Linked DNA regions of Alligator mississippiensis. The protein of the gene in region 1 purifies or fractionates together with the protein of each later gene. This does not show direct contact. Links are inferred from orthologs where the notes say so. Each region holds a gene or a part of one and is shown on either strand. Other genes may lie near its edges.

Evidence for each region. Proteins that work in one complex are often made in the same cells at the same time.
Region 2: the proteins of histone H2A (region 1) and PARP1 purify together in Homo sapiens (affinity purification with mass spectrometry; 9 studies listed by BioGRID and IntAct, counting the BioPlex papers as one, with this or other methods). This does not show direct contact. The link is inferred for Alligator mississippiensis from reciprocal best matches to the Homo sapiens genes H2AX and PARP1.
Region 3: the proteins of histone H2A (region 1) and CALR purify together in Homo sapiens (affinity purification with western blotting; 3 studies listed by BioGRID and IntAct, with this or other methods). This does not show direct contact. The link is inferred for Alligator mississippiensis from reciprocal best matches to the Homo sapiens genes H2AX and CALR.
Region 4: the proteins of histone H2A (region 1) and KAT5 purify together in Homo sapiens (affinity purification with western blotting; 3 studies listed by BioGRID and IntAct, with this or other methods). This does not show direct contact. The link is inferred for Alligator mississippiensis from reciprocal best matches to the Homo sapiens genes H2AX and KAT5.

What each region holds. Positions count from the first base shown.
Region 1 is NC_081839.1:35,289,209-35,295,886, forward strand, and holds histone H2A, read right to left. Parts: upstream 1,945-6,678; 5' UTR 1,886-1,944; coding exon 1,463-1,885; 3' UTR 510-1,462; downstream 1-509. Other genes in the region: DPAGT1 (UDP-N-acetylglucosamine--dolichyl-phosphate N-acetylglucosaminephosphotransferase), read right to left, coding at 3,828-3,893, 4,661-4,816, 5,174-5,261, 6,320-6,508. UniProt on the Homo sapiens protein: Variant histone H2A which replaces conventional H2A in a subset of nucleosomes. Nucleosomes wrap and compact DNA into chromatin, limiting DNA accessibility to the cellular machineries which require DNA as a template.
Region 2 is NC_081824.1:179,588,641-179,595,737, forward strand, and holds the start of PARP1 (poly [ADP-ribose] polymerase 1), read left to right. Parts: upstream 1-4,084; 5' UTR 4,085-4,138; coding exon 4,139-4,258; intron 4,259-7,097. UniProt on the Homo sapiens protein: Poly-ADP-ribosyltransferase that mediates poly-ADP-ribosylation of proteins and plays a key role in DNA repair.
Region 3 is NC_081831.1:22,684,619-22,691,575, forward strand, and holds the start of CALR (calreticulin), read right to left. Parts: upstream 3,014-6,957; 5' UTR 2,939-3,013; coding exon 2,851-2,938; intron 1,232-2,850; coding exon 1,130-1,231; intron 758-1,129; coding exon 554-757; intron 84-553; coding exon 1-83. UniProt on the Homo sapiens protein: Calcium-binding chaperone that promotes folding, oligomeric assembly and quality control in the endoplasmic reticulum (ER) via the calreticulin/calnexin cycle.
Region 4 is NC_081838.1:4,264,806-4,272,275, forward strand, and holds the start of KAT5 (histone acetyltransferase KAT5), read right to left. Parts: upstream 3,014-7,470; 5' UTR 2,995-3,013; coding exon of another isoform or gene 2,956-2,994; 5' UTR 2,930-2,955; intron 1-2,929. Other genes in the region: RELA (transcription factor p65), read left to right, coding at 2,956-2,994, 3,864-4,015, 4,407-4,555, 4,871-4,962, 5,842-5,976, 6,285-6,389, 6,575-6,787, 6,919-6,999. UniProt on the Homo sapiens protein: Catalytic subunit of the NuA4 histone acetyltransferase complex, a multiprotein complex involved in transcriptional activation of select genes principally by acetylation of nucleosomal histones H2A and H4.

The sequences.
Region 1 (6,678 bases):
ATAGAATCAGTCAGTCAGGAACGGGGCACGTTTATGTTGAAGTTCAACATCAGGAAGTTAGCTTCTAAATTAAAAGTCAGTAGAAAGTTTAGACTTGAGAATACACACAAGTTGAACTTTACTAATCTTTCCAGATTTAGTTGCCAGTTCCTTCTATAAAGACCACAGATGGGACTGTACTTTCCACTGGTGAGTCTGCATCTGCTCCAGAACGCACCAGTGCCTTCTAGAAACATTTACATTGCATTGTACAGGAATCCTGCTCTGCAAGTGAAAGTTAATTGTTTACATCTGTGCAATATCCACTGAATGTAACAACCACTGAATAGCCTAAAAAAGTTCTAATTTATGTTCATTTAAGATGCCTTTCCTCAGAAGGAGGGTTGACATTTACACTGTTTCTAGCCAAGTGGTAGGTCCAAATAAACCCTTCACATGATGAATGCTTTCTGTCTGGAAACTGCTTGAGCTATGTGCAAATCAGAAAACAAACTACAAGGACAACTAAAGCATATACAAAATGGGAGTTTAATCAACCAGTAGGGCAAGCCTCTATATACAAAGAACACACTCTGTACTGTTTTCAGGTAACAGAAGAATATAAGAAGAAGCTTGGAATGGTGATAAGTGCTATACAAATTAAGGGAGAAGCTGAATGTGAGGCTTATCCTGGATTCTCTTTAGAGCAGAACAAGTTTGACTTCCTTGCCTAAATCCAATCAATAGAAACAGATAAGCCCAGGAAATCCTGTAAGATGATCCTTATTACACTGAAAACTGCTATATGAGTGGCTTTGTTTTTTTAGCAGGCTGCTTCTTCACTGTACGCTGTTAGAGAAGAGAATATCTGACATCTGCCACGTGCAGAGGTGAAGCCTGGAGTTTGGCTGCAGTCAGTCTAATGGGGGCTGTTCTGCCAATGGAGCCTGTAGCCATACCTAGAATTTGCTCCGGCTGGGGGACGCGGGAACAGTGAGGCTCCTGGGTACCGCATCTTTGTCATAGAGGACAAATGTTGCTCACTGCAGAAATTGAGCTAGGCTTAGAGATGTTTTCCAGCTGGCCACTCAAGACAAAGGCTCCTGGGGGGTGTGAGCTTTCTTCTTGGCAACATGAACAGACAAAGGAAAGCAAGTTGTGGGCGTTTTTCACGGCAGTCGCGGCCCCGACCCCGAGCCGACAGCACCCCGTGGTCCGGGCGCTCAGTGCTGGCCTGTGGCCGCGGGCAGAGCGATTCCTTTCCGCCCTCCCGCCGCCTGGGGCGGTCGCAAGCGGCTGCAGCGCGGCCCCGAAACCTGCTTTGAGCAAAGCTTTTGCGCCAAGCTCCGGCGACGTTACCACGCGTCGCGGCCCCGCCGAACCGCGCGTAACGGGGCAGGTCCCCCCGCGGATCCGCAGCTCTTTCTCCGGCCGGGTGGGTGGCCCTGAAAAGGGCCGTTGTGGGGGGTGAGGAGCGGGAGCGCTAGTACTCCTGCGACTGCTGGGCGCCGCTCTTCTTGCCGGCCTTGGCCGGGCCGCCGCCCGCCTTCTTGGGCAGCAGCACGGCCTGGATGTTGGGCAGCACGCCGCCCTGCGCGATGGTGACGCCGCCCAGCAGCTTGTTGAGCTCCTCGTCGTTGCGCACGGCCAGCTGCAGGTGCCGCGGGATGATGCGCGTCTTCTTGTTGTCGCGCGCCGCGTTGCCCGCCAGCTCCAGGATTTCTGCCGTCAGGTACTCCAGCACGGCCGCCAGGTAGACGGGCGCGCCGGCGCCCACGCGCTCCGCGTAGTGCCCGCGCCGCAGCAGGCGGTGCACGCGGCCCACGGGGAATTGCAGCCCCGCGCGCGACGAGCGCGACTTGGCTTTGGCGCGGGCCTTGCCGCCGCTCTTGCCGCGGCCGGACATGGCGCCTGCGGGCGTCACCGAGCCAGGCTCCGGCGCAGACTGGGTCCAGCTGCGCTGCGCGCTCCCTTGTAGACTCCGCTCCGCCGCCGCTCTCGCCCCATTGGCCGACGCGGCCGCCCGCGCTGCGATTGGCCGCGCAGAATGGGCGCGCTGGCTTATTGGGCACCGTTGAGATCCGGCCGGGCTCTCATTGGCTGCTTCTGTGAGCCAATGGCAAAGCAGGGCGCCAAATTCAAACCGCGAAGAGCGCACGGCCATTTCCGCTTTAGCGGCCGGCGCGGCAAGCCCCTCCTCTCCCCGCCCCGCGGCCGCCTCAGGGTGAGTGTCTGGCGCGGCCCCGCGCGGGGCGGCTCCCCCCGCGAGCCGGCTCGGAGCCCGCGGCGTTGGGGCCTGGTTTGGGTGCACGAAGCGCCGCCCCTGCTCCTTCGGGGCCCGGTGCCTGGCGCTCCCGCCCGCTCGAGCAGGCAGGGCTCCTTGCTGGAGCTGCGCTTCTCCAGCAGGAGGGCCCCCGAGCACCCCGGGTAGTTCTGCCCTCCCCTCCCCTCGGGGAACCGTTTCTCGCCAACGCTGTGCTCGTGCTTTGGGCAGGGCAGCGGACCCTGCCCGGCTCAGGAGCGGTTGATAGCCCGTGTCCTATAGCCCGCATTAGCTCGAGTATCCAGGAGCCTCGGCTGGCCCAGGGCTCAGCGGGCGCACGCTGTGGTGACACTGCCCAGCCCCCGGGAGACGCACGGCTTATGCACAACACGGGAAAGGAGGCCGTGAAAGCTGGGGGAAAAGTCCCCCGAGATTTATTTTCATTTTAAACGGACCGTGGTAGCCTGAGGCTATAATCACTCCTTATAATTCAGTTCAAGTCATAAGGACAGTACAACAGGGATGTTAACACTGGTGTCCTAAATAAAGTCCGATTGAGTGAGTCGGTTCCCGTACAGTTTTATTTCACTTCAGTTGTTCTAATGCTTTGTCATTTGAATGACATTATTTTCCCTGTATAAATAATAACTGTAAAGCACCGTCGTGCTGAAAAAAGTGCAATGTGAAAATGAATTATTTGAACGAAGGGAAAACCATTAGGACCAGGGGGTCTGATGGCTGCTAATGCACAAATAGGCGGAAGGTGTTTTTTGTTTTTATAATTGATGAGACATGTGAAAGTGTGGGTATTTTGGTGCTAGAGGTGCCATGGGTCATAGAGCAATGTAGGTTAGGGAAACTGCATGACCCTTCAGCAGGAAAAAATGTCAGCAACAATGAAAAGTGGGAGAACAGATGCTGCAATAGAAATGACCATTCTCTATAAGAGGGTGTCATAGCAATGTATAATTGATATCGTTTAATTGTGTTTCAACATTTTATCCCTGTGGCAGAGAGGAATGGGAAGCTATTCTGTAGTCAGATTACACGACCTGAATATCTTGTTTCTGAGTTGTAGATAGGCTGAAAAGTGGATTATTCCGTATCTGTGGCAGAAAGATGAAACTGGAGAGGACTGTCCGGTATGTAGAGTTCAGAAGAGATTGCAGGCATTGTTGCAGGTTTATCCTTTGCATATTTCAGGCAAAACAATGTATTTCACAAGATGAAAGGAACTATGGCTGATCCTCCTCTACCTCTACCCCATCATCTTGGCCAGAAGACTCAGATCATACTTATGTCTTTGCACATGCAGGTTAGTCCCACTCATTAGGAGGTCTAGGAAGTAATGATGCTTATATAACTTTAACAGCAGAATCTGTCAAATTCCTGCTGTTTCCAACCAAGGAGGAAACAAACAAACAAAAAAAATTAGATTTGTGTCCCAGAGTCTTTCCTAGCATCTGGAAGGCAGTCCTGAGATGTCCAGGGCCAACACAGGACCATTTCAGCCATCTGGATCAGAACCAGAGAAAATAAGGGACTGATTAAGAGGAGCTGGCACTTCCCTTTCTCCTGACATCTGTCAGACATCGTAGAATAAGCGCACTAGCTGGTATCTGATCAGAAATGCAATTGTGCTTCCCAGAACCTAGAAAGAAGAAAAAAAAATTGCAATGGTGAGTTGACTGCCACTTGGACAGTGCCTAGCCCTCTGGAAAGCATTTGGGACTTAAGCACGTGGTCTGCCTAAGCGAGACAACTTAATTAGAAATGGTGCTATTTGTATGTGTGTGGAGGGGGGCATGATGGGTGATGAGAGTTCCTTGCAGTGCTCTTTAGAGAGGATCTTTGTAATGGAGTCACAGAGGGGAGAGGATAGCCTGTGTGCATACATACAGAGTTGGAATAGGCAACAGAGATGCTTGTCAGGTCTTTACCATTTCATGCAGAGGTGGGGAGCAACCCAGGAAGTAGAGGAATGGAAAGGGAGACATGAGACATAAGACAAAGCTAGGGGGAATTCAAATGTCCCTTAAACCAGAATATTCTGCTTTGAATGTGCTATCTATTAGAATAGGGCAGTCCAACTTCTGGACCCTGGGGGCACCACAGATCCCTATGGGCTGCATGCAGCATGGGCAGCTCAGCTCCTCTCCCTCCAGCCGCACAGGCAGCCCAGGCCATTCTACACAGCTCTCTCTGCCCAGCCCCCGGGAGTGAAGGCAAGACACAAGCTGGAGGGGAAAGAGGGAGAGCTCAGAGATCCTGACCATAGCAGCAGGAGTGATTTGGGGGGTTGGGAGAGGATGGGGGACAGCAGGGGGAAGAGAAGCCTGCATGCAACCTGTGGGACATCAGTTGGACAGCCCTGTATTAGGGAGCAGGCTTTTCTATCCAAAAGACCATTTGCCTGACCTGGATGAGTAGCAGCAGGATGGTGAGTGTTTGCTCTGGGGTTGGTCCAATGAGCTTTATAACAAAGTTAATGATAGTCATGTTGTTGCATTCTGTGTATTCTCCATCTTCATCCACTCCCCGTCTTACATCTACAATGCGCAAGCTCTCTGATACCTGGGAAAGAAATTTAACCACCACTTAACTGGATGAAATAGATATTTGCTAGTTAGGGTCTGGTAGGGATGTGATAAAAATTTCTTCCATACATCCTAGTCAGTGATCTCTTCTACTGTTCCAGTCCTGGGGTTTGATTCAAGGGAACAGATCTAGGGACAGGTTTAAATCAGGCCTTATGCAGCTAAGCTTCATTTTGGAGGGATTCTAATAAATGTGAGCATCAAGCATTGGGGTCAGACTACAAGAGGCCTGTTTTGGTTTGGTTTTTTTTACTAAAGTTCTATGTTGTTCGGAGGAAATGACTCAGGCTAAACAAAGGTATTATCCTTCTTCAGATCACAGCGGCTGACTGACCTTCAGAATGCATGCTCCCAGGGTTGAGAGACTCTTGGTTTTAAATTTGAAGTAGCTCATTTCCAGTTTCCCTGTAGCAGGATTTAACCTGAAAGGAACAGCAAAATGCACTTCAATCATACCAAAAGAGACAACTGAATCCCTGCATAAAGCAGAGATAGGAGTGGTCTAAAAGGAGGTGGTGCCGAAAGTGGGAGTAATTCTATGAATGTGACAGTCCTGACAGTGCAGCAGCCCGAGCCCATCACATGGGGCAGAAATGGGAGAAACCTTTTTGTTACTACTTTACAGAAGCTTGTATGGATCAAAAAGCAAGGTAGAACATGCATGGTGTAGGTAGGGACTATCTATGCTGCAAAAACTGCCAGAAGACTGCATTAGAACAGCCTCTCAGCTAAGCAGCCACAGTTCAACCTCACCCATGTGGTTGGGAAAATAAAAATGTGAACTAGTTAGCAACTCGAGTTACAGCTCCAGCTTTGCAGGACTGTAAAATTATTTCTTAATGAGGCTAGAAAGAAACCCACATGCCATGACTCAACCGTATTAGGCGAGAGCTGTATTTAATTCAACTTGATAGGTAACCTAAGCTTTTTGATGGTATAAAATTGGAGTACAGTTCTGCTAGCGTTCATCAGGGCACTAGTTTGTACCCTCTGAGAATCAGGTAGCTATACATTGAGCAATTTGGGCTTTTATGCTAGGCATTCAGCTGGAGAGTTGTTTGCCAGACTGCTTTGACAGGGCAGCAACTTGTTCCTTGACATTCAACTTTTTGCCATACAAAAAGGTGTTTTCATTTTTTCAAAATTAAAGTGTGAACGTTGCAGAAAACAGCAACCATAAAATCACAAGATTTATTCAATTTATGGCTATGCTGTTCCCGACCACAAGGAAAGGTAGTAATTACCAAATAAAATTCTCCACAGCTCTGGTATCTTTCTCAATCCTAGTTGGTGAATAAGGGCTACATCTCCATTTTCACTCCCTCCCCCAACCACAGACTACATTATGTCCATTAATACCCTCCAAAGATTCCACCGAGACTATTCCACCTGCGTCAGCCCTAGCACCAAGCCAGAACCAAACTGCCTCACAGGTACTGTCACATTACTTCTTACTCTCAGTCACTTACATGCTTCTTACCTGGGCAGCCGATGTCGGGGGCAAGGAATGATGTGAAACAGCTGAGGTAGTGAATACAGGAAGTTGAGCACTTGTGGGAGGAAGAAGAGCAGCATTGTCTTGCTGAAGTGCCCAAGGATCCCTACCACAGCAAAGGTCATTCCAGCAAAATAGCAGAATGTGTCCCCCACAAAAACACGGGACGGGTACCTGCAAGCCACAAAGAAAGTGTGAGGATGGGGTGCAGCATGAGATAAAAATCAATGACAGACAAAGATGATGTTCCCAGTCACGTGGGGGATTTCAAATATGATATGTATATGTTAGACAGATTTTAGTAGGCAGGGGACTTGTTCTAATGAGAAACCTTTCTCCTGTTA
Region 2 (7,097 bases), on another chromosome or scaffold:
GTGGTGGGGCCAGCAGGGTCAACACCATGGCCAGCAGGAGCGCAGGGTACTAGTCATTGCTGCCAAGGGCAGGGCTGGAACAGCAGGGTGCTGGGCATCACTGGCAGGGGCAGAGGCTGGAGCAGCTATGGTGCGGGGAGGCAGGATGGGCAAGGAAGGAGCTACCGCATGCTGCTCCTGCACTGGGCACACGGCTCCTGAGTAGAGAAGGGGCTGGCCAGGGATCAGAGGGTGGGGCTGTATTTCCAAGACAGCTTCCAAGTACTGGCAGTTATGGCTGGAACCAGGAGCTCCCCCCACCCTGGTGGTTACCAGGGTACATGGCAGGGCTGGAGGGACTTGGCACTAACTTTAGTGCCAAGTGTCTCCGCATGTAGACACCTGCCAAAAATTGCTTACTGTGCATTAGGTTAATGCATAGTAAATTTAGTCGCAACTAATTACACATGTAGATGTGCCCAAAATGCAGTTAATCTTCAAATGTTAACAAATGAAAGATACGAGTTAGCTATGATCATGGATACTTACTTATCTTCCATGTCTGCCATATATAGAATCTCAGCAAGACCCAACCAGCCTGGCTGTTGGTCAACTGTATTATTGTCACTTAAAGACCTTCCCTAGAATTATAAGACCTATATGTGGACTCATTACAATCTATAGTCTACCTTTAAAAAATTGTATGCCCAGTGTCAACTCCCATTATCTCTGGTCTGTATTTTTTGATACATGCTGGGATAAAGGTGATGATAATTGTTCTGCAGGATTTATATATTTATTGAAAAATCTTTTTTTTGTCTTATTTTCTTAAAGAAGATTCATGTAGCACCACAACACAAGTAATGCATTTAGGTTATGACTCAAATTTATTGTTGCCAGAAGCAGAAAAGATTTCACTTGTTTATGCCAAGAGTACATTTTGGCTTGGTCACTGAGAAATCTATAGCTACTCCATTAAATCCTCACTCACACTGCAGCTGCTACATTTGACCTTAGTCTAAGTGGTGCAGAATTGCATGAATGATTGAACAAATTGGTAACAGATGCCTTCTCTAAATGGGCAGAGGGCACTGGTCCCCTCCAAATTTGTATGTGCTCCTTCCTCTCAGCACTGCATTACCACACAGGAAAGATGCAATGTCTTTTCTTTCCTGTGCAGCTGTTTCATTTCTGCTGCTTGTGGCACCTCTGCTGTCCCCAGAGCTTTCCCTTCTTGTCTGCCTACCCTACCATACCAGTGATGTCTGTAGAATGCTTTTCCCCAGATGTCCTACCTGCTGCTCATCTACAGAACAACCCATGCTCCCAGAGCTGCTGTTTCCTGTCATGCTTTCATCTTCTCCTATTGTGCTACTATTGATGTCCCCAGAGCTTCTGCTCACTAGCACTCCCATCTGCAGCCTCCTGGTCTCCTGATCTTTTCATATGCCCAGCATTTTATCTTCTCTCTGCTGTTCTAGGACGCCACAAATGTCTCTAGGGTTCCTCTGCCTTTCTGTTCTAGCCACCCACAAATGATGCAGGGAAGGCTGAAGTATTCAGTGCCTTCTTTGCTTCAGGCTTCCCAAAAAGGGCTAACTGCAAGATATTAAAATTAAGATTGCAAAGTAAGGCCAGAATAGGGCAAGAACAGGTTAAAGACTGTTTAGATAAGATGCATATATTCATTCAAGTCAGCGGGATCTGATGAGATTCATCCCAAGTACTTAAGGAACTGGCTGATGTAATCTCTGAACCATTGAATCGTCTTTGAGAATTCAGGGAGGATAGCAGAGTGTCTAACTACTTCTGTATTGCACCTGGACACCACCTGAGCTAACATAATAGTCCTGTCATATAAGCATTATTTTGTCAACTCACATCTGCATACAAGTGACTTTTTGTGGTCTTGTGTAGTATTTACTCATATGCTTATACTTCCACATACAGGCCTTGGAGATGGTTTCCCAGCCTTCTAGATCACCCCAGGATGACACACTACCTGGCTGGCATTAGAGGTATCACTAGAATTTTGATGCCCTGGACAAAACTTCTGGGGAGGGTATATGCCCCTTTGCTGGATCTGGAGGAGTAGCCCTGGGCCCCAGCTCTCTCCAGCCATAGGAGCTGGCTGCTTGGCTGTGGGAGTTGGGTCCTGGGACACAGCAGGATCAGCCCTATGTTGCCCAGTCCAGCCTAGATGCTAGACTGGAGCAGACCCACGTTGTTGCAGTCATTTATGACACACTATATCCTGCCTGATATCTGACTCCCCAGCTACCTCTCCACTACTTACCTGCTACTTTCATCTCCCTTCTCCCCTCCCCCCAGCCTGTCTTTCATCCACCGACTTCTCAATTTACATTTTCACTGACTGCCTTTCTTGCATGCAGACCAGCCTCTGGCTTCTTTACTATTTATTCCATCCAGGAAGAGCGCACACACCAACTGCAGACACTTCCTCAGCCTGACAAAGGATTTTTAAACCCAAAAACTTGCTAAGACAAATTTTTCCAACTATTTAAGTTGGTCTAATGAAAGATTCACCCAAAGAACCTTGTCTGGGGGAGAAAGGCATTTTTCTGGGGCCATCTCTATGTCAGCACCTGGGGCTGGTTCCTCCCCACCCACCCCACCCCTTCCAGTTATACAACTGGTTGGGAGAGACTTAGACAAGCTTTCTAATGTAGTGAATTTATCTCCAAATGCCCCACACTGGAAAGTTTGGCTAAGCCTCTGCCAACCGTGCAGCTGGCCCACTAGAGAGAGATTGCTAGCCAAGTTAGGCTAGAGAGGCAGGAGGCAGGGTAGTGCGGCACCTTCACAGACTAACTCAATCAGATGCTCATGGCTTAAGCTTTCTTCAGCAGAGGGCTGAAGCCATCAGACGCTGATGAAGTAAGTTCTGTGCATGAGGCAGCCTCACCTTAAAGCTGACTATGCACCTTGGCTAGGGTTAATCTACAAAGCCATATCCATACGCAGGCCTTCCCATGCTGCTACTTCCTGGGGTCAAAAAACCCATGCCAAAAAAAAGTGGGGTGGCACATGTGACAGTAGTGGAGGCTACCCAAAACCAGAAACTGCTCGGCCAGAGCCACACTCCAGCTGCCAGATGGGTTCCCAGCTGCAGGAGCACTGCGGCTGCAGCTCCCCAGGCCCGCAGGTAAGGCTGCTGAGGCCAGCACAGTTGCTGGCCCCAGCCCCCTTTCCCCAATCTGGGGTCACCTGCTGCACACCAGAGCACATGTGGCACAGGCTTTCCCCAGGGACAAGCAGCAGCAACACAAGGTACACCACTGCTACTTGTCCTGGGGGAAATGCACATTCCCGCTCATATGGCCGCAGCCCAAGGGTGCAAACCTCCTCCGTTTTCAGCCACAGAGAAAGCCATCACCCACAAATAGGGTGGCCATCATAGAGGACGTTCCGGTTTTCTGCTACTCTGTCCTCTATTGATACAAAACGGGATGCCTCTATTTTTCTATTCAAGAGAAGCCTGAAGAGCTTCTCTACCCCAGCCATTTTTCAAGAGAAAAATAAAGGACATAAAGGCATCTGGTTTCATATCAAAAGAGGACAACCAAACTGTCCTCTATGATGGCCACCCTACCACAGAACAGCTGTCACCCTGCCTCTTACATATGTCCTGGACCATCACAGAGTGGTAGAAAATAAGGCTTGGAAGGGAGCTCGGGAAGGCATGGAGTCCAAGACCCAGCTCAGACCAGGCCCAGCCTCAACTAGATCATCCCAGGCAAGGGTTTGTCTACCCGGGTCTTAAACCCTTCCAAGGGTCTTAAACCACTCCTCAGGCTCTCCGGCCTTCAGCACCCTCCTGCTCGGAAAGCTTTCCCTCCTGTCCAGCCCCAGCTCCTCTCCCTGCACCAATCCGGACTACTATCACAAAGTAACGGGCCCCATCCCTCAGGCTGCAGACTGCCCCGCCCTCCTCCAGGACCCTATGGGGGCGGTATAGGCGGCGCACGCCACGCCCCCCGCTCAGCGCGCGGCTCCTCCCCCCCCGCCCCCTCCAATCGAACGCTGCGGCCCGCCGGAACATTCCAAAAAAAGGAAAAAAGGCAGCCTCAATCGATCGCCGAGCGCGGCGCAGGCTCGGCGCTCAGCGGTGGGCGCTGCCGGGGCCGGGCCAGGCGCGATGGCGGAGCCGGCGGACAAGCTGTATCGGGCCGAGTACGCCAAGAGCGGGCGGGCCTCGTGCAAGAAATGCGGGGAGAGCATCGCCAAGGACTCGCTGCGCCTGGCTATCATGGTGCAGGTACAGCGCCGCGTTGCTGCAGCGCTTTGTGCCGGGCCCCTTCCATCCTCGCCGGGGGGGGGGCACGTGGGTGGAGGGCGGCAGCGCCTTCCTCCGCTGCAGGGGAAACGCGGGGGGAGCGACGCTGCAACGTGGGTAATACTCCCCACCCCCCGCGCCATCCGCAAGCGCAGCTGGGGGGGGGGCAGGAATCCGCAGTGCCCCGCCCCCGCCTCGCTGGGCTTCCCGCGCTCGGCTCGGCTCTGACGTCACCGCCGGGGGGCCAGCAGCTGGGACTCCCATTGACGGAGACGCAGCAGCGCCCCCTGCTGGTCGCAGTCTTCGGAGGAAATCCCGTGGCTCGGGTGGGGGAGCATGGGCACACTGGCAGAGCATGCAGGGACACTGCCCCTGGCAGGAGAGGGGGTCACTAAGTGCGTGCCCCAGCCCTGAAAAGTGGGATGGGAGCTCGATAGCAGGTGCTCCAAAGGGGGCACTGAGCAGAGTGTGCTGCCCTAAATGAGTCCAGGCAGCCAGTGGGCACTGCCTGGTGCAACTCTGCCCAGAGCTGTGACCCTGTGACAGGCCTCTTTGATGCCTGAGTCCATTGAAGGCGTGGGCCCAAGCAGGAAGGGTTAGTCCCTTCCCCCATGCAGTTAGGGGTTGTTAAGTGTGCACCAGCTGATTTCTTGGGGAGCTGAAGCAGGGGCAGGCACCAGGGTTAGAGATTGCACGAAATGCTCCAAGGAGGGCACTGAGCAGAGCATGTTGGATGGCACTCACTGGCCCTCAAATGAGTCCAAGGAGCCAGTGGGCTCTGCCCAGTGAAACTCTGCCTGGAGACAGGACTGCAGAGGAGGAGGGACAGGAGGATGGCCCCACATTCACTGGGTGCTTTCCCAGCCGGAGCCTCCCTCCTGGTCAGGTGTATGGCCATCTTGGTGGGGCCATGGAAGGGGAGCGGGGAGAAATGCAGCCAGGGCATCAGCAAGAGGATCTTGAGGTGGTGAAGGGGCTGCAGCCTGGTGTGCTAACTCCCTGACCAGAAGATGTAAATGTTTCTGGGGTTTCTTATGTTCTGTTTACCTCGGTTTGCATCTTGGGGACTTTTGGGTGGAAACAGATGGGGGGAAGCTAGAGACTGAAACTGTTTTTAGTTGAAGTGTGAGCTGAATCCCTATTGCTGAAGAGCTGTACAGGCTTCTTACTTGTATTCCTTAGTTTTCCCCAGTGATTTAATACACTTTTTGGAGCATATTTGTCACTGACTTAATTCTTTCTTGTGACCTTTTGTGGGGGAATTTATTTTTAGCAGCAATTTGAATGTTCTCTTCCTTCCTTTGATCTCTCTTAATTGAAGAATGAATCGCCATCCTAGCAGTTCATTTTCACCCCTTGTTCATTGCCTTGTGGCTGATGAAAAGTTTACCTAGCTTAATCAAAGAGAGAGATCTCTGAGCACGCTTTTGCCACAGGACCTGCCTGCAATTAGTAAATACATCTGTCTCTAAATATAGTCTGCCCACAGTGCAGTGTAATATGGCTGCTCACTAGGGTGAAAGAATAAGAAACACATTGGAAAAATAAATGTTGACCTAAAGCTTCTGGTCTGATTTCCCCCTCTCCCTTCAACATTTCCCACCTTTCTTATCACCAGTGCGAGGGAAGGGAGTGATGGCACTGGTATAGGGACTGGACTTCTGATCTCCTCAAGGAAACCTTTTGGTCCTTTAAAACATTAGTGGCAGCTGATACCTTGTCTGCCATACTGCACCCGCTGTTGTTATTACCAGTGCAAAATTGTAAGCAGAAGAGGCTAAAGCAGCCAAGGTATATGTTTTAGTCCTGGAAATTGTGTGTGTTTGTTTTTCCCCAGACCATACAGCTGAGAGGAATACATGTGACAAAGCTGCTATAATAACTACCATGATTAAATTAGAATATTACGCTGTAGGGAAGTTAGGTTCATCTTTGCTTGTCAGGAACACTTTTTTCCAATCTTCTTGTCCTTCCATGCCTTTTCCTTGGACTCAAGTGCTATCTGTAGACAAGGGCATGACAGCCTTCTGAAATTAATCCAGTGTAAAGTGTACAGTTAAGTTTCTTATTAGAGGATTATTGTGATTTAGAGGACTCTAATAGAACACTAACAGAGAGGCTGTTTTTCTGTTTCTGAAAACAAGGAGTGGAGGGGGAAGAGATAAGGTTATAATGTGCTTGGGAATGTTGCCTGTTCCGCAAGGTAAAAATATTGTATCATTTTGTGCCCAGGCTATAGATAAGGAAGCATCTATGCAGTTTGCTGTTTGCACTTTTAGCAAAACCTTGCTAATCTGCACACTTTATAATTAAGAACTGACCCAAGTCACAGCAAGACGCAGAGTATTTTGGTTCCCACTCACAGAGTGCAGAGCTGATTTCATGGGCATTTCATGGTGGCCCTGCCTCTCACTGCTGATTGGCAGAGGGGCCCTGGCAGTGCCGCACCTCACCGCTGATTGATGGAGAGCGTCTTCACTCAGTCTGTGCCACCAACCCCCCAAAACCTGGTAATTTCCAGGAAATTGCAGCCAATGGCAGATTTCCCGGTGATCATGGACCATGCTGTTTTTAACCATGATTTAGGTAGGTCCTGACAGTGCACACAGATACCAGTATTCTCTAGCATTGCATTATGAAGCATTAATGATGTTCTGCCGTATTTACTAGTGTTAAAATGCAGTTGGGCCTCACAACTTTGAGGTAAGGTGTTACTGCATTTTTACAGACTAGGAAACTGAGGCACTAATAGAGTCAGATGACTTGCCCAAAGTCTTGCAACAAGCCAGCGGCAGAACTGGGAATAGAACTTGCAAGCTGG
Region 3 (6,957 bases), on another chromosome or scaffold:
GTCCTTGTTGATGAGCACATTCTTGCCCTTGTAGTTGAAGATCACATGGACTTTCTTGGTCCCAGGCCCACAAATGTCAGGACCTGAGGGACAAGGTGCCATTAGGAAGCATGGTGATGAGGAGGGCACCTGCGGCCAACCCCTTGCAGGAGCTGGGAGAACCTGCTCCAAGGTCATTACATCCAACCACCAAGGGCAGTGAGCTCAGGAAAGACCCACTTGAGCTAGTTCCCCTACAGGCCATTTCTCCCCCTCCCCTCAAACACACTGCTTGGTCCCCTGGGAGACCCCAATGCGCCCTGATCTGCTGGTCCCCTGGCCAGCATGGGAAAGAATTTGCATCTCCCCAAGGGCTCCCTGAAGCCTCATGTAGAGAAGATGCTGCATTCCCCCCTGTGGAGAAGCATGACACCAGCCCCTGGATGAGAAGGAAGGAAAGCCACTCCTAGCACGACCCTGACAACTGAAGCCACAGGAGAGTGGAACACCATGAACCTGGCTGGGCCCAAATGGACTCATGCCTTGCACCAGCTGCCCCTACCCCTCTGCTCACCAAACATGATGTTGTACTCAGAGTCTCCATGCATGTCCTCCTGACTCAGGCTGGCCGGGAAGAGTTTGACATAACCCCCACCACAGTCAATGTTCTGCTCGTGCTTCACTGTGAACTGCACCACCACCGTCTTGCCCCGGTTGCTGAAAGGCTCAAAGCGGGATGAGATGGCATAGAAGCGGGCGTCCTGGCTTGTCTGGATTCCTGCAGGGGAGTGGGGGAGGGTGCAATCAGGACCCCACCAAGGCAGAGCCCCAATGGAGGTGTGAAAGGACTGGCTCTGCCCATCTGCAGTGAGGGATGAGGCCTGCTACCTGGTCCTTAGGTCATGAGGCAGGTACCATGACTACCTGTGGGATCAAAGCTGCCGGGGGGGGGGCGGGGGGGGGGGGGGTGCAGTGACTGCTTCCCTGGAGAGAGTCCACAATGGGATGCAGCCCCACTGGGCAGCATGCAGCAGAGGGGACCCTGCAACTCACCCTAGCTGTGAGAACAGAGCAGAGATGCCAAGGGGTGGGCAAAAAGAGGACCCATAGACTGCCCCCTCCCTTCACCACCAGCAGGAAATGTGCCCACCTTTGTCTTTCTCGCTGTCCCCATAGAACTTGCCAGCCGTCAGCTTGAACTTCCCATAGTCAGATTTGTGCTTTGACTCCACCCAGCGGCTCGTCCAGGTATCTGGGAAGGGGAGATACAAGGTTTGGAGTTGAAACGGTGGGGGAAGGGGGCAGCAAAGAGGGCCTCCCTGCATCTCCGGACACAAGTAGGTTTGTGGTTAAACTGCCAGGTTAAGCTGCTAGGTTAAGCTACTTCCCACTGCAGATGACAAGAATGATGAGAGGAACAGGATACATACCCACCAGGTAAACTGAGGCAGAGGGAAGCTGTGACCTAGGATGGTTACAGTGCCATAGAACTCAGCAGTTCAGAGGCCAATGCCTTGCCCCAGCCACTGGACCCTGCTCCCACCCCTCACAATTGAGTCTCTGCCTTTATCTCAGCAGCGCTTGATGGAGATCCATGGTGATGGAGTCCCCTGCTACACAAATGCAGTCACCTCTGTGGCAATGGATACATAGCAGACACACACTGCCACCAAGTCCAGTCCCTTCTCCACACTGAGGGGAGACCATGTCTAAGCACATCTCCAGAAGGAGACATTTCAGCTGGAGGCCTGGGTCCCATTCTGTAGGTACAAAGTCTGCCATGGTACAGCACCCAGGCCTGCTATACAACCCACCTGGACCCAGGCCCTGCCCCCTCCCACCCAGGGCATGATGGGACAGTCAGGAGCTGCTGTGGCCTGCCCAGGACTACAGCTAGTAGCAGCCCAGCCCAAAACACGGCACTTAAATCTTTGCTGCCCCTTCAGCCTCTTTCCCTCCAGGAAACACTGCCCATCTGCTCCAGAGGATCTGGCTTTTCAGCTGGCCCAGGGCAGCCCCAGCTGCTTTCAACAACACTAAGCCTGACCAGATGCTCAGTGACAGGCACCAATTCCTCTCTGCTCAGGACAACCTGAGGCAGGGGCAAAACCAAAACCCAGTCTACTTCCTGCCCAGCTGCTCAGGGAGCAGAGTGAAAGCAACAGCAGGCTGCCCAGGGCCTGCGAGGAGATGTGTGACTGCTTCCCTCCTGTTCCCCAGAGCCACATGGGTCACTCTGCTGCCACCTAGCCTAGAACACAAAGGACCCCAGAGCCTGCACCACACTGGGGTAAGAGCTCTGCCCAGGGCTGCTTCTTCCCGCTGCCTCAAGTGGCTGGAGTCCATTGTAAGGGACTCTGCTCTGTGGCAGACTCCTCTGGGGGCTGGACTCAGGTAGGCCACTCAGCACAGGTGGGTTTAGAGAGCAGCCTCTCAGCCTGACACAGTAGGCCTTTCCCTGAGCCCTGGGTCAGCTCTTCTCCCTCAGGACGGCCTGGATCAGCTTCCATCGGCCCGGATCAGCCTCCATCGGCCCATCCAGGGTTGTGCCTCTGACAGGCCCAACCAGCTGCTCCATGGGAGCCCCACCACTGCCACCCGAGCTTCCCCAGGCCCAGCCGCACCTCAGGCACCCACCCCATAACCCAGGCATCACAGGGTCAACCCTTCCCCAGAACCCGCTACTCCCTGCCCAACCCCCAGGCAAGTCTCCTGTCCAACGTGCTGGGGGGGCCTCCACCCGCACTCCCTGCTCTTCTTCCATCGCAGCTCCCCCCACCGCCCTCCCAGACCCCAAGGAGAGACATCCCATAGGCGCTCCCCACCCTCCCAGAGGCTCGTCCACCCCTTCAGCCCCTCCCCCGCCCTCACCTCCGTCGGCGAACTCCTCCCGGAAGAACTCCGCAGGCCCCGCCGCCGCCAAGCCCAAGAGGCCGCACAGCACCAAGAACGGGCTCATCTCTGCGGGTCCCTCGCACGGCTCCAGCCCCCTTAAGATACTACAAGCCCTAGAAGTGCCTGGACACTGCAGCAGGCGCGGTAGCAGCGACAGCTTTTATATGGGGGGCCGGTCCGAGCCCCGCCCTGCCGCTGCCTCATTGGCCCGCGGCCCCGCGAGTCGCGCACCCATTGGTCGGCACCCCACAGGGCGACTCCGGAGGCGCCCCCGAACGTTAGCGTCCCAGATGGCCGCTTCCTATTGGCTGCAGCGCCGGGCCAATGAGGAGCAACCACGCGTTCGGTGGAGACACCTCCTCCCACTCTGCCTGATGCGTCACCTTTGCTTGGCAGGTCACATGACTAGCTGGGGCGCCTTAAAGGACCAGCTCAAGGTAGACTGTAGTCTCCACCCCTCACAGTTCACCTGGGGTGGAACAGAGAGAGATGGGAGAAGCCCCCAGCCCATAATAGTCGCAATAAGTCCTACGGGGGAGAGGAAGCAGTGAAATCCCATGTGGATTTCACTCCCCTGGAAACAGGCCTAGAGCTTAATTTTGCCATATGATGATGCTGTGCATCCTGATCTTGTCATAAAAAACGTAGGTTAAACTGGGGGAGAGGAAGGGAATCCCGGGTCTAATTTGTTTTTGGCTGGGGGTGGGGCCTACCTTTAGGAAAGGGGAGGGGTTACCTGGACTCCTGGGTTCTATTCCCTGGTCCTAGAACACCTGTGGTTCTTTACCTGGCTCTCCCACCGACTCTGTTACATGCCTTAAAACTCCAGGTACCTAGGACTAAAACAGATATTAAACAACCCACCCCACTCCCCCCACCAGCCATGGACAGACAGGGACAAGAGCCACAACCATCTCAGGTATTGTGAGTGCCCTTCACCAGCACATGGGATCCAGTGCCGGGCTGCTCACCACTCCCCTTGACAATCTCCTCCTGGCAAAGCCATCCTTAAGGTATGGCAAATTGGGGCAACTGCCCTGGGCCTCGTGCTTTGGGGGGGCCCTGCAGAGCCAAGCAGAGCAGCCGTGACCCCTCCTGCAGGGCCCGCCTGGAATTGGCGGCTCAGCCCAGCACTATGGAAGAAGCATGGAGACCACCCCCTTCCCCCTTTGCGGGGGTACCACAGCTCCATGTGTTAAGGGGGCCCTGCACAGGATGATTTGCCCTGGGCCCCGCACCCCCACTAGGGTTGGCTCTAACCGCTCCCCTGGCACTTCATTCCACCTCAGAGCCCCTGTTCTCTCTTCTCTGAACATTGTGTGCTGCACCCCAGAAACAGCTTCATTTCAGGTGGCAATTCAAATGTTTTCAAAATCCTTATGAATCTTCTAAAGCCTGAAAGAGGCAAGGAAGAGGAAGACTCCTGGTGGTTCACCTTTCTGAACAGCCTGGCAAAGAGAAGCAAACACGAGAGCAGGCCCTTGCCAATGCTGTGGGCCTGGGCCCAGAAGTAACACACGGAAGAGAGATAACAGTCCCAGCAACACTTATGTCTCTTATGTAATCAGCAGCATCTGGCAGGGCACCAGGACACAGACCGTTGAAACCTGGTAAGTGATCCATCTGCCCCTCCCTCCCCCTCCAATAAAATGTAGCACCCATTGGGGTAAAACACAGCAGCTGTTCTTGCTGGGATGGGAGATGTAGCTGGTGTTGGGGGTGGAGTGGGGCAGCTGTTGCGTGGTCAGCAGCGATAAAGTGACAGAGGATTTGGGGAGACCTGGGAATGCAAACACCACCCACCCCATCCATCTCCCCTATAGACCCTTCCAGGCCTCCACAGTGGTGGTGACACCTGTCATCCATCCCACCATGGCTTTGGACTCCTGTCTCTCCATATTCCTCCTCCTTTCCCTCCCTCTCTCCCCTTATGCTTCTCTTTCTGCCACAAACCTGTCCTAGATATACCCCTTCCCTCCAGGAACCCCTCTCTGGCCCTGTCAACAGGACCTATCATTTTGGGCATCTGCCCCAGTACAACCATGTCTACAGTGGACTTTTGGCCTCAAGTGCCACGCCCCCCCCCCACTAACCATGGCATCACCCAGTGACAAATGGTTCTTGCTTTTGCAACCCCCCGGTCAGTTAGTGCAGAGACCAGAGCTCAGTGGGGAAAGGGGCAGGGTGGGTGCGTAGTGATAGGAGGAGGAACGGAAAAAAGGAAGTGGCTGGGGCCTGGGGAAACGGGGGCACATGGGTCCATTCCAGACAGCACTAAAGACACAGTCCCAGATGTGAGAAGCTCTTAGCACATGGGGGCAGGGGGTAGAACTGGGAGGGCTGGGACTCAACCCCTGGGGTATGGCTGGAGTGATGGATCTAGGGATCAGGACTCCTAGGTTCTGGGCCGAGAGCTGGGTGTAATGATGAAAGCAGGGTGGGGGTGGGAGCCAGGATGCCTGGGTTCTGTCCCCAGCTCAGAGAGCACAGGTCTATGCAAGGGTTGCAGTGGTAGAGCAGATCAGATCTATTCCTGTACCCCCAGAGGCATGAGTTCAAGCCTGGCTCCCTTCTCCTATGAAAGCTTCCTGCTTCCCCATTGCTGCAGCCAGCTCCCTTCCCTGCACCCTGGCTCCCAGCTCTAACTCCTTCCACCCCCCGAAACCCAGGGATCCAGAAATGCAGGAACTGGTTTCCACGATTTCATGCATGGAGCTAAGGGAACTGGCAGAGAGGCAGCATGTTCATCTGGGTCCACACCCTGGTGCTAGGATCAATCCCAGGGAATGGTCTGCAGAGTCCAGGAGCTCCTGCCTCTCATTCACCTCACCCTGTTGGACCCCAGGGGTTCAGATCTTGATTTCCACTGCAGGGGGACACATGGGAACAGGCCCCCTGTCCTGCCATAGTGCAGCCATGTGACCCTCTTCTTGATGGGTAGGGGACTGGCCCAGCACTCACACCCCAGCCTCTCATTCTCTCAGTGAGTGTCAGAGGCCTAGTAATTTGTCATCAGGAAGCAGGCCCCCAAACTCACTGAGTCAGGGGATGCTGCCACCAGGAGGCATCTGAGAGGAGTCAGGATCCAGCACCATGGGCTCTGGATTCCCCGGCTTGGGTCCAATTCTGTCTAGAAACAGAACTAGGCCTGTTAGATCCCAGCACTCCTGGGCCGGTGCTGCCCCCAGACCCAGTTATCTGAGTAGGTGACTTTTACCCTGCACCAGGGAGTCCTGGGGTAGCTCTGGACCGGCCCCATTAGCCCCTCATGGGCACCTTCTCAGGCAGCCCCATGGATCTGCCTCCATACAAAGGCAGAGGCCACTGTCTCAAAGGGCTGGGTGCCTTAGGACTGTGGTTTCCACAAGGACACCAGGTTAAGATCCACCCTCACAGAGCTAGGATCCCTCCTGGGGAAGGGCAGGTGGGCTGCCACCCCCTCAGCTGGATCCAGTGGGGCAGGTTTTAGACTCTCACATAGGAACAGTCTCCTCTCTGCTGCCTCTTCTGCCCCTCCTGCTTCATGAGAGGCCCTGCCAAGCCAAAGTGGAGGTCTATCGGCAGGGTGTGGGAACTGTCATAATTCTGCTGCTCTGGCCCTGGCTGGGCTTGTCTGTCCTGTGTAGGTAACACCAGTCTTTAAATGCCCCTGTAACTCATTAACCCATTCGTAAAGCAAGCTGCAGTTAGTCCTGAGGTAGAATTACACCAGCCAGGAGGAAAAAGTCTCTAGTGTGTTGTCACCTGTAATTTATATGGCAGTAAATAAAATGCTGTGCTCTGTGCAACCCAGTGGGGTGTGCAATCTTGGCTATAGCTGCTAGCAGCCATGCGCAACTGTGTGTGCAGGTAATTGTGCACATGTGTAATTGTGCAAGTGCAATTTCATGTGTGTATATGTGCATTTGATCACGTATAAAACCTGCTCGAACACCCACATGCCTCATTTCTTCAAGGATCCCACACCTTGTCTCTACCCCAGCTACCTCTAGGACTGCCTTTAGATGACTCATTCCTAGACGACAAGCTGTTGTGACCTTACAGAAAGTCTTACCACATGCGGCATTTTTAAGCGCCATGTTC
Region 4 (7,470 bases), on another chromosome or scaffold:
ACAGGGAGAAGTAGAGACTGAGACCTAGACCTAAATCTGGGTATCAGGTATAGACAGGTATAAAGCTAGATAAATATAGGTGTAGATAGAGAGATGCAGGTACAGACCAGTGTAAAGATACCTAAATATGGATGGATATAAAGAGAGAGAAATAAAAGTAGGTGTAGATAGCTAGATATAGGTATAGAGAAATATAATGATAGCTAAAAAGAGATAAATATAGCTAGATACAGGTATACCTGGATATAAAGATAGATAAGTAGCGATAGAGATATATCTATCTATACCTGTACTGATCTAGATAAATAGGAACGGGTATAGATATGTAGATATAGACATAGAAAGATAGCTATATAGAAATAGCTGTATAGAGAAAGATCCAGGTGTAGACAGATATAAAGCTAGCTATATCAAGATAGCTACAGGTAGGTAGGTACAGGTATAGACGGATATACAGATAGATATAGGTATGGATATGAAGAAAAACAGAGATAGGTATAGGCAGATGTGGACAGATACAAGTGTAGACAAAAAAATAGAGGTCAGTATATTTTGATACAGGTATTGACATATATAGAGGTAGCTATAGAGAGGTAGGTATAGGTACAGGTATTTGCAGATGTAAAGATAGATGGATGTGCATGTAGGTAGATGAAGGTGAGCACAGGTGTAAAGACAAATAGAGATAGAAAACTGCGGGTGAGTATGAAGGTGGATAACGAGAGCTGCAGGTAGATGGAGGAACAGACGGGGAGAAGAGTAAATAGAGAGAGATGTAAAAATAGATGTAGATGGATATAAAGATGGAGAAGTATCTCTTTTGGGGGGGGGGTGTCTGTACACACTGTGGTGAGTCTCTAAAGGTGCATCTCTGCCCTGACTTGAGGCTGAGTTGAGACTAACATGGCAACTGCCTGTCTACTCACGTATGTCATAGCGGGGTGCGTGTGGGGTGCCTGGGTTCTGTGCGTGTGTAATACAGGGACACTGATTTCTGCGCATGTACACACAATACGGGGATATGTGTCTGCCTATACACAGGGTGCAGGGTGGGTGTGGGTGTGTCCCAGACACCAGGTTTCTCAGAGAGAAGGAGGATGACCTGGATACTTGGGGGGGGGGGGTGTGTGTGTGTGTGTGTGTGTGTGTGTGTGTGTGTGTGTGAGTGTGAGAGACATCTTGGCAGGGGCTGTGTCTCAGACACTAGAGGGTGGGGGGCAGGCAGTGTCCTAGATGGCTGCATATTTTGTGTGTGTGTGTGTGTGTGTGTAATACAGAGAAACACATGCATGGGCAGCCATTGTGTGTGTATCTGTACATTATATAGGGACAGGTGTGCAAGGGCACCCATTGCATGTACCAGCATCTATGCTCTATATAGGGAGGTGTGGCCCTGCATGAGATCCACACACACGTGTGTGCTCAGGGACACCCCTAATGTGCAGGCATACGTGCTATCTGGGGCTGTGTGTGTGCGTGTCCATGATGGGACACACATCACGTGTGCGGGGCTGCGTGTGTGTGTTTGTGCCACAGCAACCCGCGTTTGCAGGGACACCCACCATGTGTGTATAGGGCCACAGATCCTGTGCAGGGACATGTGTGTGTGAGAGGCCCTGTGCCTGTTTGTGTGCAGGTGAGGTGGGGGGCACCTGCTGCGTGTTGTGTGACACGGGGACGCGTGTGTCTGCCTGTACGAGCCTGGGGGGTTGTTCAGCTCCTGGCTCAGTGTGGGCCCTCTGTGTCCGTCCGTCCCCACCCCCCGGGCTGAGCTGCTCGATTCAAGCCAAAAACAATGACGTCAGGGGGAAAGAATCCCAGCCTCGGGCCCCCCCGTCCTGGCCGGATCCTGCGGGGGCGGAGGCTTAATGAGCTGTCCCTGCCCCCCTCCAGCCCTGTCGCTGCCCCTCACTCCCGACCTGCAGCCCCCAGCCCACCCCCAGCCTGGTCGGTGCCCCTCACTCCCAACCTGCAGCCCCCAGCCCACCCCCAGCCTGGTCGCTGCTCCTCACTCCTGACCTGCAGCCCCCAGCCCACCCCCAGCCTGGTCGGTGCCCCTCACTCCCGACCTGCAGCCCCCAGCCCACCCCCAGCCTGGTCGGTGCCCCTCACTCCCGACCTGCAGCCCCCAGCCCACCCCCAGCCTGGTCGGTGCCCCTCACTCCCGACCTGCAGCCCCCAGCTCTGCCGGTGCCCCTCACTCCCGACCCCACAGCCCCCTGCTCCCCTCCAGCCCTGCCAGTGGCCCCCCCATTCCTCACCCCGCAGCCCCTGCCTCCCCCTCGGTCCTCTTGGTGCCCCACACTCCTGACCCGCGGCCCCCAGCCCTGCGGTGCAGGTGCTGTCCCATGTGAGTTACGGGAAGGAGCCGCAGGGAAGGGAGAGGGATTTTCCCTGCCTGGAAGGGGATTTTGGACTCCCTGGCGAGGCCCCAGCTCCACCCCTCAGGCTGGCTGCCCCCTCCCCCCCACCTCCTGGCAGAGGTGCCTACAGCCTGGCAAGGGAACCAGGTGTCTGAGGCAGCTGCCTTCCCCTGCCCCTCACGAAAGAGCCCGGTGGGGTGAGTGGCTCACCCCAGAGCCAGTCACATTCAGCGCCAGGCAAGGGGCACTAGGGGCTGGGGAGAGAGGGCCCCTGGCTGAGATGCAGCCGCCTCTGGGGTGGGGCATGTGAGTGGCTGAGTAGAACATAGATGCGGCTCTTCTGGGGGGCGGCCTAGGAGATACAGGGTTGACATGCGGCTGGTTCTGGGGTGGGGTGTGTCAGCAGCCGAGTGGCCCACTCTGGGGGTGGTGGTGCTGGGGAGACGGGGCCGCACCCCAGAGCCAGCCATGTCTCACCCGTGTGGGGCTGCACACGGAGGGGAGTGGGTTCCCTACATGGACACAGGTGGGGCGGGGACCCCCCCAGCAACCCCCAGGTCACTAACCTCCTCTTGCCTTTGTCTCCTTCCAGATCTGCTGCCTCTTCTCCTCCAGCCGGACTGGCACATGGGTAAGTCCATTGACAGAGAGCAGTCCGAGGGCAAAGAGCAGGAGAGAACCCAGACGTCTGGGCTCCCAGCCATCCCCGCTCCCCCCACATGGGCCGTGGAGCCACGTGAGGGGAATGGACTTGGACCTCCCCCACCTGGAGCCATCTCCATCTGTTCTACTCAGCCACCAACGCCCCCCACCCCAGAGCTGGCTGCATCTATTCTACTCAGCTAGGGGGGGTGGCCCCTCCAGAGCCAGCCGCGGCAGAGACCTGGATCCCCAGCCCCGATGCCCCCCCAGACCTGGCTGCCACTGCTCCAGGGCTGTGGCTCTCCCAGGGTTTCCCCAGGTGACTTGCAGCCCAGAGTCTGGCTCAGAGGCTGCTGGGATTAGCCTGGTCCAGGGGCACTCGGGCTAGGCAGTCTCTTCCCTCTGGGCACCCTAGGTCTTATGCTGGGGGTGCCAGGGGCTGCTCCTATCACCCTTGGGCCAGCCCCTGAAGCCAGGAATTCCCAAGGCAGGAGCCATCGTCCTGGTTAGTCTGTGCTGCAGCTGGCTCTGGGGCAGGCTCTGTTGGCAGCTGAGTAGAACAGATGCAGCCAGCTCTGGGGTGGGTCACAAGCTGGGGGTACGAAGCCGGGCACTGGGGTGCGGCCAGCTCTGGGGCGGAGGGTGTCAGCGGCTGAGTAGAAAAGGACATGGCTGCTTCTGGGGTGGGCCCAGGAGACATGAGGCTAAAATGCGGCTGTCTCTGGGGTGGGACGTGCCAGCAGCCAAGATGAACAGAGGCTGCAGTATTGGGGCTGCGGGGTGGCCAGGGCTGGGATGGGGTCCCCAGCCTGGGGGTGAGGCCAGGCCCCCCCGTGACAGCCCGGGTGTGTCCCACAGAGCCGGTGCCGAGCTCGACGCCCTTCGTAGAAATCATCGAGCAGCCCAAGCAGCGCGGGATGCGCTTCCGCTACAAGTGTGAGGGGCGTTCGGCCGGCAGCATCCCTGGGGAGCGCAGCACCGACGCCACCAAGACCCACCCCACCATCAAGGTAGGCCCTGGCCCCGCCCCCACCCCGCACCATGGCCCCGCCCCCAGGAACACAAGTGCAGCATCGAGGCCCACCTCCCTATGGGGCAGGGCCTGGCTCCACCCCCAAACCTGAGCCCCACCCCCTGCAGCATCACCGAGGCCCACCCCCCATCAAGGTAGGCCCTGCCCCAGGCCTTAGCCGTACCCCCACGCCACAGACACTAGGGAGCCCTCATCGTCCCAGACGAGCTCGTCCAGCTTGGGCCGTTGACTCTGGAACCTACTGATGGCCGGACCCGAGTGAAACCCCCTCCGTCCACATCCCTTATCCCAGCCTGAGATGATGGGAGTGGGACTGAGTGCCCAGACCCCTGGGTTCTCTCCTGCCAATGGCTGCCCCTCCCCTGCAGATCAATAACTACACGGGCCCGGGGAAGATCCGCATCTCACTGGTGACCAAGGACGCCCCATACCGGCCGCACCCCCACGAGCTGGTGGGCAAGGACTGCAAGGACGGCTACTATGAGGCTGAGCTGGCCCCTGAGCGCAACATCCACAGGTCTGCCCGGACGCCCGGGTTCTCTGCCCAGCTCTGGGAGGGGAGTGGGGGCTGGGGGGGCAGCCCGGACGCCTGGTTCTCTGGGAAGAAAGTCCAGTAATGGTGCTTGAGCAAGTGGGAGTTGGCAGCTCCGTCTCCTGGGTTCTTTTCTGGCTGCTGATTTTTTGGTGAGGCTTTGGGGAAACTGAGGCAGGTGAGGGTCTTGGGTCTCCTGGGAAAATTCGGAGGTGAAACCCCAGCATCTGGCCCTGCCCTAGGGCCCCCTGGCGGGGGGGAGGGTGACGGCGACACAGTAACCCCCTCCCTGCCCTGCAGCTTCCAGAACCTGGGCATCCAGTGCGTGAAGAAACGGGAACTGGAAGAGGCTGTGGCCCAGCGCATCCGCACCAACAACAACCCCTTCAATGGTGAGTGGGGGAGCACTGGGCATGCATGGGGGTGCTTCGGAGCCTGTGTCCTGACCCTGGAACTTGTGGGAGCAAAGGTTTGAGCCTGGGCACTGCCCCTTTAATTTGAACGGGTTAGAACAGAGGTTCTACCTACCCCTTTAACTGGAAGGAAGCTTTGAGCTTTACTTGGGGGTGGAGATAGAGCCCAGGCCCCACCCCTTTTACTGCAGAGTGGGGGGGCTCCCCGGGGGTGGGATCTGTCCCTGGTGGCCTGTTGATGTGCATGGGGGGCTGTCTCATCCATGTGTCCTTGCCCCTCTACAGCGCTAATGAGCAGGAATCCTGGTTTTCTCTGTTTAAAAATGGCAGATTCTCTGATTAACACCCCCCACCCCCAAATCTGTGATTAAAATGGAAGTCCCCTGCGTGTGCAGGTGTCAGTGGGACGCAGGGTTTTATTGTAGGGGGTGGGGCCGGCCCCCCACCGTAGCGCACGCTGCCGGAGGAGGCATGGGGGCAGCTGCGCGTTCAGGCTCCCCGGCCTGCTGCCCTCCCCCCTGGGCACGGCAGGGCAGAGCGGGGCTGGGAAGCTCAGCGCTGCTGCGGCAAGGTGCCCTCTGCTCTGCCCCCTGCTGCTGCTGGGGGGCAGGGGGTGCCTTGCCATGGCGGTGCGGGGCTCCCAGCAGCAGCAGACCGAGCTCGCCCGCCCCACTCTGCCCTGCCCTGGCTGCCAGGTGCTGGGGGGCACAGCAGGGCAGGGAGCCCCCACCCTGCGCACAAAAGTGGGATAACCAGGATCCCTGCTGATGAGTCTGCCCATGGTGGGGGGGGCCTAACTGAGAGGCGGGGCCTATCCACAGAGGGCAGGGCCTCACCCATGTGTCCTTGCCCCCACAGTGTCACTGGAGGAGAAGGGCGAGTACGACCTGAACGCCGTGCGCCTCTGCTTCCAGGTGTGGGTGCAGGATCCAGCCGGCACTGGGCACCTCATGCTCTTGCCCCTCGTTGTCTCCCAGCCTATCTACGACAACCGTGAGCCTGGGGGGCGGGGCTAGGAGGCCTGGGGGTGGGGCTGGAGCTGGTGGGGGAGGAACTAGAGTTAGTTGGGACAGAGATGGATGGGGTGGTCTGAGACCCAGGGGGTGGGGCTTGGGGCAGGAGTGGGCATGGCTAGAAGGTTAGGGTGGGGCTAAATAGGATGGGGGTGGGCTGGTGTAGGTGTTGGGGCAGGGGAGGAGGGTAGGCTTTCCTGGGCTGGGGCTATTGGGCCAGAGGGTGGGGCTACTGGACCAGGGGGTGGGGCTAGAGCTGGGGGGTCCTGACCTGTGCCCCGCCCCCAGGGGCCCCCAACACGGCGGAGTTGAAGATCTGCCGGGTGAATCGTAACTCGGGGAGCTGCCGGGGGGGCGAGGAGATCTTCCTGCTCTGCGACAAGGTGCAGAAGGGTGAGTCACCCCGGACGCCTGGACTCCCCCCGGTGTGGGGAGGGGAGTGGGCTGAGCAGGCACAGTGCGCCGGGTCCCCTGGGTTCTCTGGAGGGGGACGGAGGCCTGGGGCTGAGAGGGGAGTGGGGATGAAGCAGGGGCTCTGTGAGCCTGGGGGTTCCCGCCCTCACTCCTTCCCCCTCCAGAGGACATCGAGGTGCGGTTCTTCCGGGATACGTGGGAGGCGCGTGGCTCCTTCTCGCAGGCCGACGTGCACCGCCAGGTCGCCATCGTGTTCAAGACACCGCCCTACGCCGACCAGGCGCTGCGCGAGCCTGTCACGGTGCACATGCAGCTGCGGCGCCCGTCCGACCGCGAGGTCAGCGAGCCCATGGAGTTCCGCTACCTGCCCGAGGAAGGTACCGTGGGGCAAGGGGGCGTTACGTGGAGAGCCCAGAGCTGGCTGCACCGGGGGGCCTATGCTCCGGGCCCGATCCTGGCCTGGGGTGTCTGCTCTGGGGTGGCCCCCTAAACGCCCTCCCCGCCCCAGGTGACTTCCACTGCATCGAGGAGAAGCGGAAGCGAACCCGCGACACCTTCAAGAGTTTTGTGCAGAAGACCCCCTTTGCAGGTGGGTGGGGTTGGGGAAAGGGGAGGGGCTTCTCCCTGGAGCAGGCTGTAGAAAGGGGAGGAGTCCGGGTGGGGGGCTTCTGCCTGGGGGTGGGGCTGGGGGGGGAGGGGAGTGGCACTTGGTTGGGGGCAGGGCTTGGGAAAGGGGAGGTGCTCATGGCTGGGGGTGGGGCTTGGGAAATGGGAGGAACTCCTGGCTAGAGGCAGGGCTTGGGGAAAGGGAAGGGGCTCCTTGCCAGGGGCTGGGTCTAGGGGAAGGGGTGGAGTCCCTAGGGGCTGGGTTTAGGGAAAGGGGAGGGACTCCTGGATGAGGGGGTGGGGCTGAGGAAAGGGGTGGAGTCCCTGAGGGTGGGGCACTTGGCTGGGGTGGGGCTTAGGTGGGGGGGTAGCTGAATGCCAGGGCTGGGGGTCTGAAGGGGAGGAGCTTAGGGAGAGGGGTCATTGGAGGAGTGGCCTACAGGGTTGTGGGGGT